Nothobranchius furzeri: one gene and its partners. The protein of the gene in region 1 binds, or shares a complex with, the protein of each later gene. Links are inferred from orthologs where the notes say so. Each region holds a gene or a part of one and is shown in the gene's direction. Other genes may lie near its edges.

What was found. The genes of interacting proteins can lie anywhere in the genome.
Region 2: snrnp40 (region 1) and armc7 share a complex: the UniProt entries of both Homo sapiens proteins name them as parts of the minor spliceosome. The link is inferred for Nothobranchius furzeri from reciprocal best matches to the Homo sapiens genes SNRNP40 and ARMC7.
Region 3: snrnp40 (region 1) and bcas2 share a complex: the UniProt entries of both Homo sapiens proteins name them as parts of the postcatalytic spliceosome P complex. The link is inferred for Nothobranchius furzeri from reciprocal best matches to the Homo sapiens genes SNRNP40 and BCAS2.
Region 4: snrnp40 (region 1) and snw1 share a complex: the UniProt entries of both Homo sapiens proteins name them as parts of the minor spliceosome. The link is inferred for Nothobranchius furzeri from reciprocal best matches to the Homo sapiens genes SNRNP40 and SNW1.

The regions. Positions count from the first base shown.
Region 1 is NC_091759.1:20,973,024-20,977,267, forward strand, and holds the start of snrnp40 (U5 small nuclear ribonucleoprotein 40 kDa protein), read left to right. Parts: upstream 1-1,444; 5' UTR 1,445-1,577; coding exon 1,578-1,688; intron 1,689-2,312; coding exon 2,313-2,442; intron 2,443-2,515; coding exon 2,516-2,609; intron 2,610-2,701; coding exon 2,702-2,867; intron 2,868-2,978; coding exon 2,979-3,101; intron 3,102-3,421; coding exon 3,422-3,542; intron 3,543-3,615; coding exon 3,616-3,698; intron 3,699-3,843; coding exon 3,844-3,905; intron 3,906-3,999; coding exon 4,000-4,103; intron 4,104-4,177; coding exon 4,178-4,227; 3' UTR 4,228-4,244. Other genes in the region: zcchc17 (zinc finger CCHC domain-containing protein 17), read right to left, coding at 371-509. UniProt on the Homo sapiens protein: Required for pre-mRNA splicing as component of the activated spliceosome. Component of the U5 small nuclear ribonucleoprotein (snRNP) complex and the U4/U6-U5 tri-snRNP complex, building blocks of the spliceosome.
Region 2 is NC_091756.1:50,515,091-50,519,237, forward strand, and holds the start of armc7 (armadillo repeat-containing protein 7), read left to right. Parts: upstream 1-1,347; 5' UTR 1,348-1,380; coding exon 1,381-1,440; intron 1,441-1,514; coding exon 1,515-1,602; intron 1,603-3,599; coding exon 3,600-3,743; intron 3,744-3,822; coding exon 3,823-4,147. UniProt on the Homo sapiens protein: As a component of the minor spliceosome, involved in the splicing of U12-type introns in pre-mRNAs.
Region 3 is NC_091755.1:51,937,692-51,941,833, forward strand, and holds bcas2 (pre-mRNA-splicing factor SPF27), read left to right. Parts: upstream 1-1,342; 5' UTR 1,343-1,453; coding exon 1,454-1,546; intron 1,547-2,328; coding exon 2,329-2,421; intron 2,422-2,509; coding exon 2,510-2,580; intron 2,581-2,696; coding exon 2,697-2,858; intron 2,859-2,946; coding exon 2,947-2,997; intron 2,998-3,085; coding exon 3,086-3,166; intron 3,167-3,253; coding exon 3,254-3,380; 3' UTR 3,381-3,889; downstream 3,890-4,142. UniProt on the Homo sapiens protein: Required for pre-mRNA splicing as component of the activated spliceosome. Component of the PRP19-CDC5L complex that forms an integral part of the spliceosome and is required for activating pre-mRNA splicing.
Region 4 is NC_091742.1:20,646,544-20,650,539, forward strand, and holds the start of snw1 (SNW domain-containing protein 1), read left to right. Parts: upstream 1-1,196; 5' UTR 1,197-1,299; coding exon 1,300-1,346; intron 1,347-2,934; coding exon 2,935-3,088; intron 3,089-3,197; coding exon 3,198-3,359; intron 3,360-3,996. UniProt on the Homo sapiens protein: Involved in pre-mRNA splicing as component of the spliceosome. As a component of the minor spliceosome, involved in the splicing of U12-type introns in pre-mRNAs.

The DNA.
Region 1 (4,244 bases):
TACTCAAATTAGAACCCAAACCTTTTATCTTTTTTCCATCTAGTGGCAAAATATTTTAGGGCAACCACTAAAATTAGAATTTATCATCAGAGATAATGAAGTATAAAAAGTTTGGGACAAACTTCTTCCTATTTTAGCCGTTGATGCTTCCCAGTGCTGCATCTGCTACTAAAATTATAATATATGGTATTAAATGAAAACGTTTTTTTTAAATAAAAAATATAAAGTTAGCTGTAGTCATCTAATATCTCCTATTTTTCTTTTTACAGATCCATTACTGCTTTAAAGGACTCACTTCACTCAGCTGGTTAATATTACTAATACTGGTATTTCATTTTTAAAGATTACAAGCTCTCAGCCTTCTACCAACCTTCCTTCCTGTAACCAGGCAGTCGAACAAAAGCTCCATATGTTTGCACTGAAACCACCTCTCCCTTGGCGATGCTGTACATCGGAGGCAGACCATCCAGCCCGGCTGGTTCTCGACTCGAGCGGTCACGGTTGGACATCGTCTCAATCTGGGCAAACAGTTGGAGGATTAAATATATTTCAATTCAATAACACAACACAGATAAAAGACGAAAGACGAGGAAAAGTTAAAGAAACCCAAAATAAAAGCAATATTGTTCCTTTTACAAAGTAACAGAATAAATTTAAGTATTTATATTGTGAATAAAAATTATTAAATAAAAATCCATAAAACTACTTTCTACGACAACTATTATGTTTTCACAAGTCAGGAGTAGGCAATAAATCAAGTTCAGTTGAAGTTATCCTTCAATTAAAATGTTTTTTCTTCGTTTTCATTAAGAATTAAGCTCAAATAACCCAGTTTAATAATATTAAAACTAGACTAAAAAGACCAGCCATGGTCTAAATTTTATTTAAACGGTAACTGCATATTTTCTAACACTCCATACATGTGAAACAGACTGAGAACCAAACACAAAAAAATAAATAAAAACAAAGAACACAGACAAAAATTGCAGCTGTCAGATTTAAAGAAACTAGGCTAATCTCAAAAACGAACAAATAGAATTATTAATATTGTAAATCAGTTTTAATTTTCAAAACATGGATTTATCTTACCTCAAACTTCACTTTCCATTACATTAATTCGAGCGGAGTAAAAACTATAGGAGACAATATCTCTGGAAACATGAACAGGATAAACGCAACACGAGCATTGGTGTTTACATAAAACCCTCTAACCTATTCCTGTTAAACTGCTCTATGATACATTAGTAAACCAGACAATTGTGCTATAATTAATATATTTTGCGTAATGTGACTCTAACTCTTAAGAAATAAAAATAATTGCAATACCTTTTCCACCGACTAAACTGTGCTAGTTATACTTCCAGGTCAAATTGACGCCAGGAAGAAAATCAGCCAATCACTGCAGCCTGCGCAAATTTCCACCAATCACGAGCTTTGAACCCGGAAGTACTTCAGTGTCTGTCTTCTTTGGTGGTTTTGTTTCCTCAGACGTCTTTCGTCGAAGACGTCCGTTAATTTTACTAAGTTTTAGCTTTGCATTTACTCTATTTAGCCGCTTTTTGTTAACTTTCCCCGCAATGATTGAACCTCTAAAGAGACCCGGAGACATGGCGATGGTTCCCACTGCGCTGAAGCGGCCACGGATGGAGCTAGTAGCGGCGGCTCAGTCTCAGCAGCTCGTGGCCACGGTAACGTAGCCCTGGTGACATCCGACTGCGTTTACATTCAAGATTAAATCATACTTACCACCTTTATAGTAGTTATGTTTTTAAGTTTGAGAAAAGGGCAAGCTATGCTAGCCGGGGACTTATGTATTCATTAACCGGACCATGTAAGCAGATTTAGTCACGTTTTCATGATTAATGTAAACATCAGAATAGTTGACAATAGAATTCAATATGCAAAAAAACTATTTTCAAGAGCGTGTTGGTTATTGTAATTATGTATTTTATTGGTAACAATATTTATTATTAAAACAGCCTTCCTTTTTAATATTTGATTCAAATAACAAAGCATATATAATAAATAAATAAACTGTCAAGATGATCAGAGTTCACTTGTGCATCAAAGGTAAAATATATATACACAGATATCACCTTTTATCATAATGCAAGCTTAAGGAAACACCAGATTGTAATTGCCACTGGTGCAATTAGGATCTACTTCCAGCTCCTACATGATTAAAGGGAGCATTTACTTCACTCTCTTTGCTAGATCTCAGCAAGTCATCCAGCTCGTATGCATTTAAAGTAAAGTACCACTTGTTGTTTCTGCACCATAATGCTGCAAACCTAAATCACTGATCCCCATAGGGCCATCCACGCACCTCCAGCATGCAGGCTCCCATCATGTTGATGTCTGGCCATGAGGGGGAGGTCTACTGCTGCAAGTTTCACCCCAATGGAGCTGTGTTGGCCTCTTCAGGATTCGACAGACTCATATGTAAGTTTGTGTCAAACAGTAGCAGACATATGTTTGTTAAAACCGCTTTAAAATCTCTGTTACCATGCTGCAGTGTTGTGGAACGTGTATGGAGACTGTGAGAATTACGCCACCCTGAAGGGTCACAGCGGAGCGGTGATGGAGCTGCATTATAACACAGATGGCAGGTAGAGACGGTGGAATATGATCAACTAATATCTGGTGGATTATTGCGGAACTTGAGTCAGAAGTGTGATACAGAGGTGTCTGTGTGGTTCAGCTTGTTGTTTTCAGCCAGCACGGACAAGACTGTTGGCGTGTGGGACAGCGAGACAGGTGAGAGGGTCAAACGTCTGAAGGGACACACCTCCTTTGTTAACACCTGCTATCCAGCTCGCCGAGGTCCTCAGCTGGTCTGTACAGGAAGCGACGACGGGACGATCAAGGTCAGGCTGTTTTCTGGGTGTTTTGCTGTGAAAATGAGGTCCAACACACACCGTTCACACACACCTACATTGTTGCACGTTTTGTTTAGCCTGATGTTTTTTGTTTTCTAGCTGTGGGACATCCGCAAAAAAGGAGCCATCCACACCTTTCAGAACACCTACCAGGTTCTGGCCGTGACGTTTAACGACACCAGTGATCAGATCCTGTCTGGAGGCATCGACAACGACATCAAGGTTAAAAAAACAGTTTTTCTTAAAGGGACTCATTAAACTGTTTATCTTGAAGAAAGTCAGACTAAACATTTTAATCCCTTTAACAACAGCAGATGGTTGCAGTGATGCTCTGTTTCAGCCATTTTAAAGTTGATTGACTGAAGATGTTCAGTGAGATTTATTGTCAGCCCTTGGTTGTTTACATTTTTGTTTGCTTCAACTCCAAACGCAAGTTTATTTTTTGTTGATTGTTGCAAAAATGTGAAATGTCGAAGGCAACAAATCGGCTCCAGCCTAAAATTCTCTCCTGGTCGTTGATCTGAAAGCTTTGTGTTGCTCAGGTGTGGGATCTGCGACAGAACAAGCTGATCTACAACATGCATGGACACGGGGACTCTGTAACCGGGCTCAGCCTGAGCTCCGAGGGGTCATACCTTCTGTCGAACTCCATGGACAACACTGGTATGCTCGGCTTCTGATCCTGCTCATCTGTGCTTGAATCGCATCCCTCAAAGAGTCTCGCGTGTCTTTGCAGTGCGAATTTGGGACGTGCGGCCGTTTGCACCCAAGGAGAGGTGCGTGAAGATTTTCCAGGGTAATGTTCACAACTTTGAAAAGGTAATCTTCACTAGCAGACAAATGAACAATTCACTTCTAGGTCAATCTGAGAAGTCGTACATATCTGGACTAAAGAAAACCGCTTTTTAGCTGTGAAAGCTCCGGGTCTGTGTTCTTCTCATGTCCTCTTTTCCTGTTTATTCAGAACTTGCTGAGGTGCTCCTGGTCCACTGATGGCAGTAAAGTAGCCGCAGGATCAGCCGATCGGTGAGAAACGCTTTGGTGACTTTTTAAACCCAAACGGAGTAAAGATAAGGCACTGAGAGCCACTTTTGTTCCCCGCTCTGTGCGTCTGCTACAGATTTGTGTACATCTGGGACACCACGTCTCGCAGGATCCTCTACAAGCTGCCGGGCCACGCCGGTTCTGTTAACGAGGTGGTGTTTCACCCAGAGGAGCCCATAGGTGAGCGACAGAACAGGAACCGGAACCAAACACAAGAAAAAGTCACTCATTTATTCTTTTCTGTGTCTTTGCAGTGCTGTCTGGCTCCAGTGATAAACGTCTGTACATGGGTGAAATCCAATAAGGTGTGTGTGTGTGTGT
Region 2 (4,147 bases), on another chromosome or scaffold:
AATAAAAGATGTGATTGAAGTCTTTATTGAATTTTATTTGTTTGTAATGGGAGTTTAAACTTTAGCATATTAATTTGAGCTGAACTGAGATTAAAACTTCAAAATCTTCTCTAACCTCTCCATTATGAAGTTAAAATTTATATCTCAGACTTGATACACCTTAATGACAAAATACAAGTCCTGATACTTTGGTTTTAATTCAACCCTGATAAAAAAAAAAATCGTTTATCCAGTAATATTTTTCTCCCACTGTTTCTGTTTGGCTTAGGGGTTTAGTCTGTTTTTCCCAGATAGTAAGTACATTTTATTTATATAACACCCATCACAGACAGTAATCACAAAGATAAAAAAAACAAGACAAATTAAAGATGATTCGAGTTAAAAATAAGGCTATTTATGTAGATGGTGGTTAATTCTGCTCCCGCTTGACCAACACGAGTGTCAAAATTTAAAAGCGTGGTTCCTGCTCAGCTGAACTTCCATCCAGTCTTATAATTTACTGATTTACTGGATGACTGTAATGTCTGATGGCCTGTAAAGCATCAGTCGTCTGCAAAAAGTTCATATGTTCAGTCACTTCCTGTCTGTTGCTGCTTCTTCTTCTCCACCAGCTCTTTCTGTTTCTCCCTCCTCTCCAGGACTTCCATCATCCTGGCATAGTTGCGTTCTCGCTCCTGGGCCTTGAGCTCAACCACGTCTTCAAGGAACCTGTGTCTGCATAAACGACAAGCAAATATGTTTACGATTTGCTGCTAACTCATAGTATTTAATATTTTTGCTTCAGTCTCCAATGACAGTTTCACCGTCACACCGGTGTTACAGTGAAATGTGTTGTGCGTGTGTTTCTTTTACGCAGTTAGCAAAGCTCAGTTTCACCTGTTAATGAAAATAGTGGCGAGTCCAACCAGCAGAGTTCCGAACAAAATGGGTTTGGCGAGGCGCTTTCTCGCGGACAGCCGGTGGTGATTCATTGTTGCTGTTTTACTTAAATAAACAAAGCGACATAGCGTTTTTGTTAAGCTGACCTCCCGCAACGTGCGTTATGTGCTGTTGTACGAGCACATAAACACAAACACACCTTCTGCTCCTTAACTTCCGCTCAGCTGCCGGTGTTGTATCAATCTCTGTACACCATTTAAAATGTGTTTCCTCATCGGCTCGCGTAGCTCTCGCGTATTTCATTGCACAATTGTGACAGCAATGCTAGCATTTATAACGTTATAGGCGAGTTTATAGCAACGATGTTACGATTTCGTGTAGCTAAAAATGCGTTACTCTTTAAATCATGCGAAAGTGAACGGGGAACACATCTTCACGGACAAACAAGTTTTGATAAAACAGCGGAACAAATATCTACTTGCGCAGTTTTTCCGAACACTTATGAGCCGCGGACCCATACGTGAAATGAAAACAACCTCTGAATCAGCTATGAACGGTCAAGTAACTTAAACATCAGCATAATCTGATATCTGTGTGAATTTTATTTGAAGTGTTAAATGTGTTTTTGCTAAAAGATGAAGAGAAATGAGTCAGCTGAAGCGCCTGAACGGTTTGAATATTTACAGACGCTGGTTACTGAATTTCAGGACACTGACAGTGAAGGTAGGAATAACCTTTGATCTGTGTTCTACAAAGTTAAAATAAAAACCGTTTTAAAACGAACACGTAGACTCTCAACACCCTCAGTTTAGATGCATGCTATTATTTATTAGTGATGGGAATGGCTCAGCTCACCAGAAAGAGCCGGCTCTTTCGGCTCCCAAATGGCTCCTCAGATTTTCTGTTTCGTAGAGTACATTTATAACCAAAATAATGCAAAACTATATGTAAAATTATTTACTAATGTAAAAAAAAATGCAATATATCAAATATTTATAATTTCTATGGATTTAATAACTGAACACTTTAAGAAATTGTCACTTTCCGACTGCTGGCGCTCATTTTCTCACCGTCTTCATCACACTCTCCTCTCTATCTCGCTCACCTTTTTCCTCCTCATTCCCTCTCGTCTACCTCCACCTGCATGTGCTCTGCTGTGTGTCTGAGTCTGATTCTCCCTCTTCCCCGTCCCTACTGCTCTGTGTGTGGACAGTCTGGTCACACAGTTACACATGTTGACCAATCGCCTGTAGCGTTCACCAAAGCAAGAGGGGAGGGGGGAGGGGAGGGGACGGCTCCCAATGATGAGCCGGCTCCCGTTGTTCACTTCAAAGAGCCGACTCTTAGAGCCGGTTCGTTCGGACTGACACATCACTATTATTTATATCGTTAGAGGGCTTTTTCAGAAGCCGTTGTTCAGTCGAAAACTGTACTCTCCATCAGTATATTTATTTGAAGTGAGAGAAAAAAAATCGTCAAAAGAACATTTGTATATATGTTAGACCAGTTTTTATCCATTGCAATAGGAGAAAGGCTGACTATCAGCATTAGAATTGTGTTCAGAAGACAAAAAGATCACAAATACATGCAAATGACTTCATGAAGTTAAAATTTTTCGAAAAAGAATCTGTAAACATGACTAAATCAGGTAGAAGTGAACAAATACATCAAATAAGCTGTAATTCTAAGCAGCGTTTTAAGTTTTATTCTGAAAGTGTATCGTTGTGACATGAAATAAATGTAAGCTTAGTATTTGGAAACCAAAAAGTGACGTTATTTAACCAAATTCTGATTGTTCATTCTACATGTTAGTTCACTTTGAGATTACTGCCATAAGTAAACATTTTCTGTTGGATTTTACCGCAGAAAGCTGCTTGTTTTTATTTTTAAAAAAACGGTGTTAAAAATAAGTAGCCAGATAATGTGATGAATTAAATAATGCGCTAGTTCCACATCCATCCATCCAGTTGTAAATATCTACACTGGCTGCCATTAAACTATAGAAACGATTACTAAGTGCTACTGCTAGTTTATAAATGAGGCCAAAATACATGTTGGATCTCCTTCCTGTATATATACACCCAGCAGGGCTCTGAGATCCTTAGGAAACAGTCAGCTGGTAGAACCTCGGGTCAGAACCAAACAGGGTGAAGCTGCTTTTAGCTACTATGCTGCTCACAGATGGAATCAGCTTCTTTATGACCTGAAATGTGCCCCAACTCTAGTAACTTTTAAGTCAAAATGGAAGACTTTCATGCATTCATCAGCCTTTGAAGGATTATTTCTCATGCTGTACCTTCTGCGCTCAGTCTTTAACTTTGTCTTTTATTTTATTTCTTACATTTAATTTTATTAGAGTATTTAAAATTTGAATTTAAAAGCTGCTGTTTTACGTCGTCACGTTGATTTTAATCTTTTATGATCATGCTGGTCATGCACCTGGAAAGTACATTGAATAGCTTCAGTGTATGAAATGTGCTACACAAATAAAGCTGCCTCGCCTTTCTAGTTTACAGACAAATCTTATTTTTATACTGTCAGCTCCACATTTGAGCCTGAAGGGTGTTTTGATGTGAAAGTAAAAAGCGCCCCCTGTGGTATAAATGTGTACTGTTTCTGTGCTGCAGCCTCTGTTTATCATTGTTTGTAATGAGCTGGTGTAAGGTGAATTAGTGGATGTAGGTATCTCTGTTTGTTTCATTACTTTTTCTCTTTATCAGAGGCAAAGGAGCAGGTTCTGGCAAATCTAGCCAACTTTGCATATGACCCAAAGAACATGGAGTACCTGAGGGAGCTGCAGGTTCCTGACCTGTTCCTGGACATGTTGACCGAAGAGAATGAGAACTTTGTGGAGTTTGGGATGGGTGAGCATCTCTCCAACTAAAACAGTAAATCATGTTTGTTTATGTAAAAATCATCTAAACTCAAATATTGTGTTGACAGGGGGTCTGTGTAACCTCAGTATGGACCCTGGATGCAGAGACATCATCTTGGAGAACGATGGGATCAGCTTGATCACAAACCACCTGTCAAACCGGAGGGAGGAGACGGTGCTGTCTGCCGTCACCACCCTGATGAACCTCACCACACCAGCGACCTGCTCTCAGATCACAGAGCCAGGGATCGTTCAGTGCATGCTGCGCTTCTCACTCGCAGAGAGCCCCCGTCTGCGCAACCTGGCCTCGGTCTTCCTGCAGGACTGCTGCAGCCAGGAGCAGGTGAGACAGGCTGAGCTGCAGATGCAGGGGGTGCAGACGGCCATCGGGAT
Region 3 (4,142 bases), on another chromosome or scaffold:
TATTTTGCAACAGAACACTGGTGGGAGAGGTGCTCAGCTCAATAATATCAGAGGAGGAACAGCTGGCTGCTACCACTTCAACTTTAGAACAAAATATGAAAGTCTCAAAAAGAAAAATGCCATTTGAAGTTGCTGACAACAAAAGATGTCTAGACTTATGGTGACTGACGGTTTAATTACTCTGGCAACGCAGGTGTCCATTTCCAGTAGAAGTATCTCGGGGAAGGTAAACAAGGGAAGAGGGTGCGTGTTTTGTGATGGTGTTTGCGCTCTAAACCTAGCTTGTACTGTAGATTCACTAAAGCAGCTTTAACTCATGGCCAACTTATCAATTTGTGAGTGTTCGAGAGCTCATCTATACTGAAAGGATCTCCTCTTAAAAGCCCAAAAGTAGTTAATTTTAGGTTTCATCATAGGGTTACTGATATTTCTTTTAAAGAATACTAACCAAATGTTTTATTTAATTAATTAAATCATCCCCCCCAAAAAATTAAAAAAAAAAACATCGTTCAGATAACCTGTGGAGATGATCAAATGAAAGAGGATGGGTTTCTCAAGTTTTCAGTCAATCAATCAATTGAATACTTTTTTTAAAAATCTCTGATTTTTGTTGGAATGTATTTCTTGCATTTGAAGTGGGTAAAAAGGCTGGTATTTTGTGCACACCAGCCAGACTTACCCCCTTTCTATTCTACACATTGGCATGGCTGTCCAGGCTAGAGATTCATATGAGCATCAGATCTCATGTACTCCAGATAGTATCAGTCTGCATCAGATAATTTCTGAGAAACTATCTGGTGTGGATGAGATATTATCTGGTGCCAATGTGATTTTGATTTAAAAAATGGAGCACACATATGGCTTGTGGTGGTGGCAGGGTCAGTGATCCAAATTCTTCAATTGTGTCTTCTACCAATCCACTTTTCTACATTAAAAAAATGGTCCAATGCTGTCATAGTCAGGTGACAAAACAGAAAATGGGAAATTACGTTAATGCTCGTTAAACACACGCGCGCGCGCGCGCATTTAAAAGAACCTTCTTGGAGCCTCTAAAACTAAGTCTATATTAAAATATTACAAGGAAATGTTGCGTCTTGGAATCGTGTTTTGAAGAAATTATGGGTGGTTTAAAACGTTTGCACAGTTTTATATGGGGTCTTGTACATAAGGTTTCAAGGAAAATTTACTAAAAATTAGGGTAGAGGGAAAACAGGTCACAGTTGGAGTTCAACTGTATTTTTATGCGCATCTTCGATGTGCATCTTCATCACGCACTGCCTTCGTCACATTCCTATCGAACACGGAACCGTAAGCATTATGTATGAGCACGGAAAAAAATGTAGGACATTTTATTTTGAAACTCTTCACCGGAAAAAGAACTTGGGTTCAGTTAGCTACTAGCCGCCGAGGAAGAAATAAATCAACAAATTAATCAGTAAATAGACTCATTAAAATGGCCGGGACAGCTTCAGTAGCGGGTGAAGTGTTTGTTGATGCTTTGCCGTATTTCGACCAAGGTTATGATGCGCCAGGTGTCAGAGAGGCGGTGAGTGAAATAAAAAATGTTTGCTATCAGAAGCGTGTTAGCCAACACGCTACATGGAAACTTTCATTAATCCTTAAAGTCGATGGCCTTTTAACTGTTAAATTAATATTACTTGTATAGACCAAACTAACGCGTTTATTTTTATATATAGCTGGTTAGTGTTTATTAGTGCGTAATAGACTGCTAGACGAAGAAACCAAAGAATCTCAACAAATGCACGAATTTTGTTAAAACAACATGAAACGAATATAAATTTTATATATTTGCATAATAGGTCGCAGAGACATTTTATGACATGTTTCCTTTCTTTAAATTTGGTTTATTTGGGTTCTAATGTGACTAATTATCCTTTGAGTTTGGCACGGGAAAAGATGCATAATTTGAGATTTTAACACCTAGAATCTTTCAGATTCAAACTGTGAACTTGTTGAATTGTATAGTTGATAATGCCACATTAAACCTTGTGAACAGTGATCAAATGGTTATCTGTATTTGCGTTTAGTAAATAAGGATGTAAACAACGTCATAGACAAGTACCATTTTAGGCATCTTTGGAGCTTTTATGTGGATGTTTTATAACTTCTTTTTGTACTTCTTGCTCCTTGTAAACCTAAAATCAGATTTAGTCTTCATATATTAGTTTATTTATGTATTTAATATTTGTCATCCTTTGTTATTACAAAATAGCGAATTAAGCTTGACAGGGCATTGCCGTAGAATAGTAATGAGAAAGTTGGTTTTAAAGCTGCAGAACCAAACATAAACCCTGTTTGATCCCTTAGGCAGCTGCATTGGTTGAGGAGGAGACAAGAAGGTACAGACCTACGAAGAACTACCTGAGCTACCTACCTACACCTGACTTCTCTGCTTTTGAGGTAAGAATCTAATTAGAAATGTGAGGTCTTCTTATGGACTTTCAGACTTTGACACAGAACTTACTGCACTTTGTTTTCACCCTTCCAGACAGAAATTATGAGAAACGAATTTGAGCGGTTAGCGGCACGTTCGCCTATGGATCTTTTGAGCATGAAAAGGTAAAAACTGCTCTGGTGGTAGTTGCCTTGCAAGATATATGTTTGCTTTGCAAATCATTTGCTCAGTATTTTAATAAATATGGACATTATGTTCTAATATCTTCCTGCCTGTGAAGATACGAGCTGCCAGCTCCAACTTCAGGACAGAAGAATGACATTACAGCGTGGCAAGAGTGTGTGAACAACTCCATGGCCCAGCTGGAGCACCAAGCAGTTCGCATTGAGAACCTGGAGCTCATGTCACAGTATGGAACAAATGCATGGAAAGTCTACAATGAGTGAGTTATGGCAGCTTTTATTTTTCAGAAATAGTACCATTGTTTTATTTGAAGACTGTTAATTATTTTTTTTGTTCTCCTTCCACAGTAATCTGGCTTTTCTGATTGAGATGGCTCAAAAGGAACTCCACAAATTCAGGTGAATTGCGATGCCTGGACATTGTTTGCTAATTTAAAGGGCTTTGAGAATTCATATTTAGAAGCTTAACAATTACTTTGGTTGACAGGAAGCAAATTCAAGATTTGAACTGGCAGCGTAAGAATGATCAGCTGGCAGCGGGGGCCAAACTACGCGAGCTGGAGTCTAAGTGTGTCTTCTGAACAACTTCCATGTCACTGTGTGGAGAGAACACGTTGTTTCCAGATGTCTTAACATCTGTGTTTTTGTTTGACAGTTGGGTGTCTCTGGTCAGTAAAAACTACGAGATCGAGAGAGCCATAGTCCAGCTGGAGAATGAAGTAGGTCAGCTCCGGCAACAGCAGGGAGACGAGAACAAGGAGAACATCTGTCAGGACTTCTGAAGAATCACGCAAACTCAAAACTAACGTTCCCTCAATCAGACACATTTTCTACAGATCTTTAAATCAACCACATGTTTAGGATTTTCCACTAAAAACATTGTTGGAATGTTTAAAATGAACTTTTATCAGAATCGTGTTTGCTCTAAGCAAAACTGTAGATTCCGATCTCATCTTATTTCAGGCTGAAAACGCAAACACACCTGTAATAGTTTTATTTTCTGTTTGCAGCGCTTTAGTGTTTGTTTTGTTTTGCAATTTTGTCATTTCAGACACAGCTGAGTTTTCAGTCCTAAGTTTTATGTTTGTGCTACTGATACCCTGGCAGTAGTTCCAATAGTTACTACACATAAGCCTCATAAATCTAGCTGTTTTTTAAGTTGCCTTTCAACAAAGTTTTTAGAATTGTAAATAATTTGTCAGATTTGAAGCCAAAATGAAAGGACTCCACATTAACTTACATTTATTATTTTCTAAAATGCTGTTTGTAACAAAATGAGCTTTTATAATAACTTCCATTGTCATCTGTCTTTGTTTTTTGTAACACGTTTATTTGATATTTTTAAGCTCAACTGGGTTTCTCAGTTTGACCAGAGAACAGACATGATCAGTTATCTTTGCCCTCGTTTGGAGATGAGGGCAATAGGGAATATTTGTTCCTTTGTTTACTCATTAGTGATGTAAAAAGTCCAGGACAACCCCTCTGATCATTTTAAGTAGACACTGAATATTGTAACTTTTGTAAGTAGTTACTTTTAATAAATT
Region 4 (3,996 bases), on another chromosome or scaffold:
ATGTACCGACACCGGTGTCGGTACAGTATCTGCTCGGGTGCAAGATCGGCTCGGGGTCCTTCGACTCCCGATGACGTCAAAGTACGGCAAACCGACTCGGACAAAATGCACTACACATCTATACTGTTGGAAAGAATTTAGCACTTTCGTTATTAAAATAATGTTTCTTAAGACATAAGTTTGTGTTTATAATGGTATTTGTAAAATAAAACACTATTTCTTATATATCTTATTCATAATGTTGAACTCCTCTTTGAGCACATCCCTTGGCTTGAAGAATCATAGGTATTAGCAACACCTGTAAAATTGTATTTGCAGGAAAGAAGTGTGTCCCGTTTATTTAAGTATTTTGTGTTTAGAGTTGTTGACGTCTTGTCATAGACTGTAGCTGCTAGCCAAAACTCTGGAGTTAAAAGTTTTCTGGCTTTACTAAAAAACCTGTCTGTACTTATTTGATTGATGGTATTTTTACTTTCTATTAGACTCCAAATGTAATCATTTGGCACGTTTGTAATTCATAATTTGCAATAATGTAATCGGCGATATTAGCATTAGCATTCCTATGGGTTTTTCCATGTATATTAGCATTGCGCTAACCACTCGCTGCCAAATTGCAGCCTTTGAGATTAGAAAATCTCCTGGCTTTACTAAAATACCTGTCTGTACTTATTTGATTGATGGTATTTTTACTTTCTTTAAGACTCCAAATGTAATCATTTGGCACGTTTCTAATTCATAATTTGTAATAATGTAATCGGCGATATTAGCATTAGCATTCCTATGGGTTTTTCCATGTATATTAGCATTACGCTAACCACTCGCTGCCAAATTGAAGCCTTTGAGATTAGAAAATCTCCTTTTGTCACATCGCAATTTAATTGCACATGCAGTTAATCGTTCAGCCCTAATATACATGCAGCTCTATGCTAAAAGTGTATTTTCAAAGAGGTAATGATGGATTTCTTTGTAAAAGTTGTCCATCTTTCCAATGGAAAGATTTGCCTGGACCAACGTAACGTGATAACAACGTAACGTGATTGCGTATTTCCGTAAGGTTCATGTTCAGCCAATCAACTACTTAGACGTCATCGGCAGTCGACGGACCCCGAGCCGATCTTGCACCCGAGCAGATCCTGTACTGACACCGGCCCACTCGGCATTGACCTCGGAGAGTGAGGAGACCCATCCAATATGGCGGCAAAGCTCTCCATCGCACAATGGGGCGTCTACGTATTCATTTCTATGGTCTACGTAAGGAGCAGTCGCACGATCAGGAAGTGATGTAATGCCGCTGTGCGCATGCTCAGTTTATCCAAAAAGAAAAACTTAAACATGTCGCTTACTAGGTAAGTTCGTTGACAAGGCCTTGTCTGTTTATGCTATTTAAAGAGCTATTGACTGGGACTCATAATAACGTTTAGGAAAATTACATATTCAGGCTTTATCGCCGAAGTTCACGATTTAATTTTAATTGGTTTAATCGAAGCTAGCGGCAGTAGCCGAGGCTATCGTTTAGCTCGTCGGCTAAACATGTAGCATTAGCCATCTTGCAACACGCAGTCGTTGTCGCTGAGCAAGTTAGTTTTTCGGTCAATTTCATCTTAATTATGGCTTTCATTTGACCAAATTGTAATATTCAGTCATTTAAATTCATGATACTACTATTTATATTGAAGCCCTGGGCTAGACGAGCATTGATGTTTCCCCGTGTTCTTCCCCCTTCCTGCTTGCATCTGTTGTGTAAAACGATAAAATAAAATAAATTAAAAGGCTGAAATCAAACTGTGCAGAATTTAAATTTCGTCTTTGGTCTTTTCAGCCGGGGAAACGCATCCTGGTTAATGAATGAGATTGAAAGAATGTTCTGACTGTGCAAAGGAAAAATAAGGCGATTCACTTCTAAAATACTGACTTCTTCATGCTTCCTGGGAGAACTCTTCACGGGAGAGCTATTCTCATGTGCTAAAATGTGCACACACTTTATTTAAGCACTTGAATTGCTTTAAACTGCATGTGACATTTGTTGCAGGCTAGTAACAATTACTTTGAGATAAGTGGGGAAAAAAGATATTCATGATAATTATCTGTAAGGTGCAACAAAATGCTATGAATTCTTGTTGAAAGTGCTAGAATGGGATTTTTTATTATTATTTTATTTTAGAAAATCGCATAATACATGATTGCATGATGTGCCCAATCACCAATACCCTTCTGGGATTCTGTCATAGTGCTTAGATCAGTCCTGTTATAAATATCTTATGTATGTTTATTCTGTTTTTCTCTTCTTCCTAACAACTTTACTTGGTTCTTTTTCAAACACGGCAAGAGTTGTTATACCCTGTTTTTGCTGAAGTTTCGGCTAATGCTGTCTCCTTCCTCAGAGCGTGCTGCTGTTGTCGGCGTCAAATACTTCTCCGTTCATCCTGTTATAAATATTTACTCAGTCTTTGATATTTCACATGTTTATTGCTGAAGCTAATTCACATTCAGTATTATTTGACTTGTCTGACATGAATTGTCAAATTAAAAACACATTTTGACAACAAGGAAGAAACTTGCTTCTTTAAAGTAAAAGCAATTAATAAAAATATACAGCATAATAAAGATGATTTATAAATATTCCCCTTGCATGGTGGCAGTGGCATCAAGCATCACCAGCAATCAGACAAAGGATAGAACGATGTTTGGAGTGGCCCTGTCGAAAGTCCAAATTGTTATTATTGGCATTACTAGTATGTAGTCTCTCAGTATCACAATAAGATTACAGTACATCAAATGTGTCAGTGTTAACTTCTGGTAAAGCATAAACATGACCAAATCGGCTCCTGTGTCCAAATAGCTCAATTATTCCCCTTTGTGTTTATATTTATTGTCATTAGTGGCTAATACTAGTTCACTTAACACTTTTTAATTTGTTCTTCTTTGTTCATGAAGCTTTTTACCAGCGCCAACACAGCTGTCTCAGGACCAGCTGGAGGCAGAGGAGAGGCTATGCGCCCAAAAGGCTTACTCCACCGCTCTGGTTGCGTCCCGTAGAGAGCCCCCTCCTTATGGACACAGGAAAGGCTGGGTACCCCGCGCATTGGAGGTAGTTCCCACCATTAAGGCTTTAGAAATGGAACAGAGCTTTTGGCTTCATAGCCACACTAAAAAAAATCTTGGTGTGGTTTTAAAGTTGGGTGTATCTATTTTTCCAGGACTTTGGAGATGGGGGGGCATTCCCAGAAATCCATGTGGCTCAGTTTCCTCTGGAGATGGGCAGGGGGAAGAGAACGTCCAATGCCCTGGCTGTGCAAGTGGATGCTGAAGGAAAAATCAAATATGATGCCATCGCCAGACAAGGACAGGGAAAGGACAAGGTATGTTTGGTTATCATTGCCTTTTTTGATGTGTTTATTTGTAGTTAAGTGGATTCAGACAAATCCCATAAACCTGATAATGATTAAACTTTTCACAATTAAGTTGGCTTATGTCTTATTAGAAGTTTTTATTACATACCTGCAATCTTGTTGCTTTAGGGTGAAAATTGTCATTTTTGAAGCCAAACAGTAGAGATGCACTGAAAGGAAAATTCTTGGCTGAAACCAAGGCCAAAAACCACAACACTGAAATAAATGATGTCAATATTTAGAACCATAGCATGGGAAGGACTGTGCATTATGTAATATTGCATTTAATGAACCACGGCTGCAAATGTAATTCCTGGTGAAGTTATTACTTTACACCGGCAGATAGTGGAGATGTGTAACTGTAATCTGAGCAACACTTTTGGGTGTTTCTACTGATGTTTTCAGAGTTTATAGAGTTTAAACACTGCCCTTCGTACGGAGGTGAGGAGCGGAGCTCACAGAGGTCAAATCTATTAGATCTATTATTTTATGTTAGAGTGGAGAGACTTGCGATGCTGACAGGTCTGCTCATTGTTGACAAAGCTCTTTGTCTGATAATGGCTGACTCCGATTCTGGAGAGAAATATTCACCATCTGATGAAGAAAT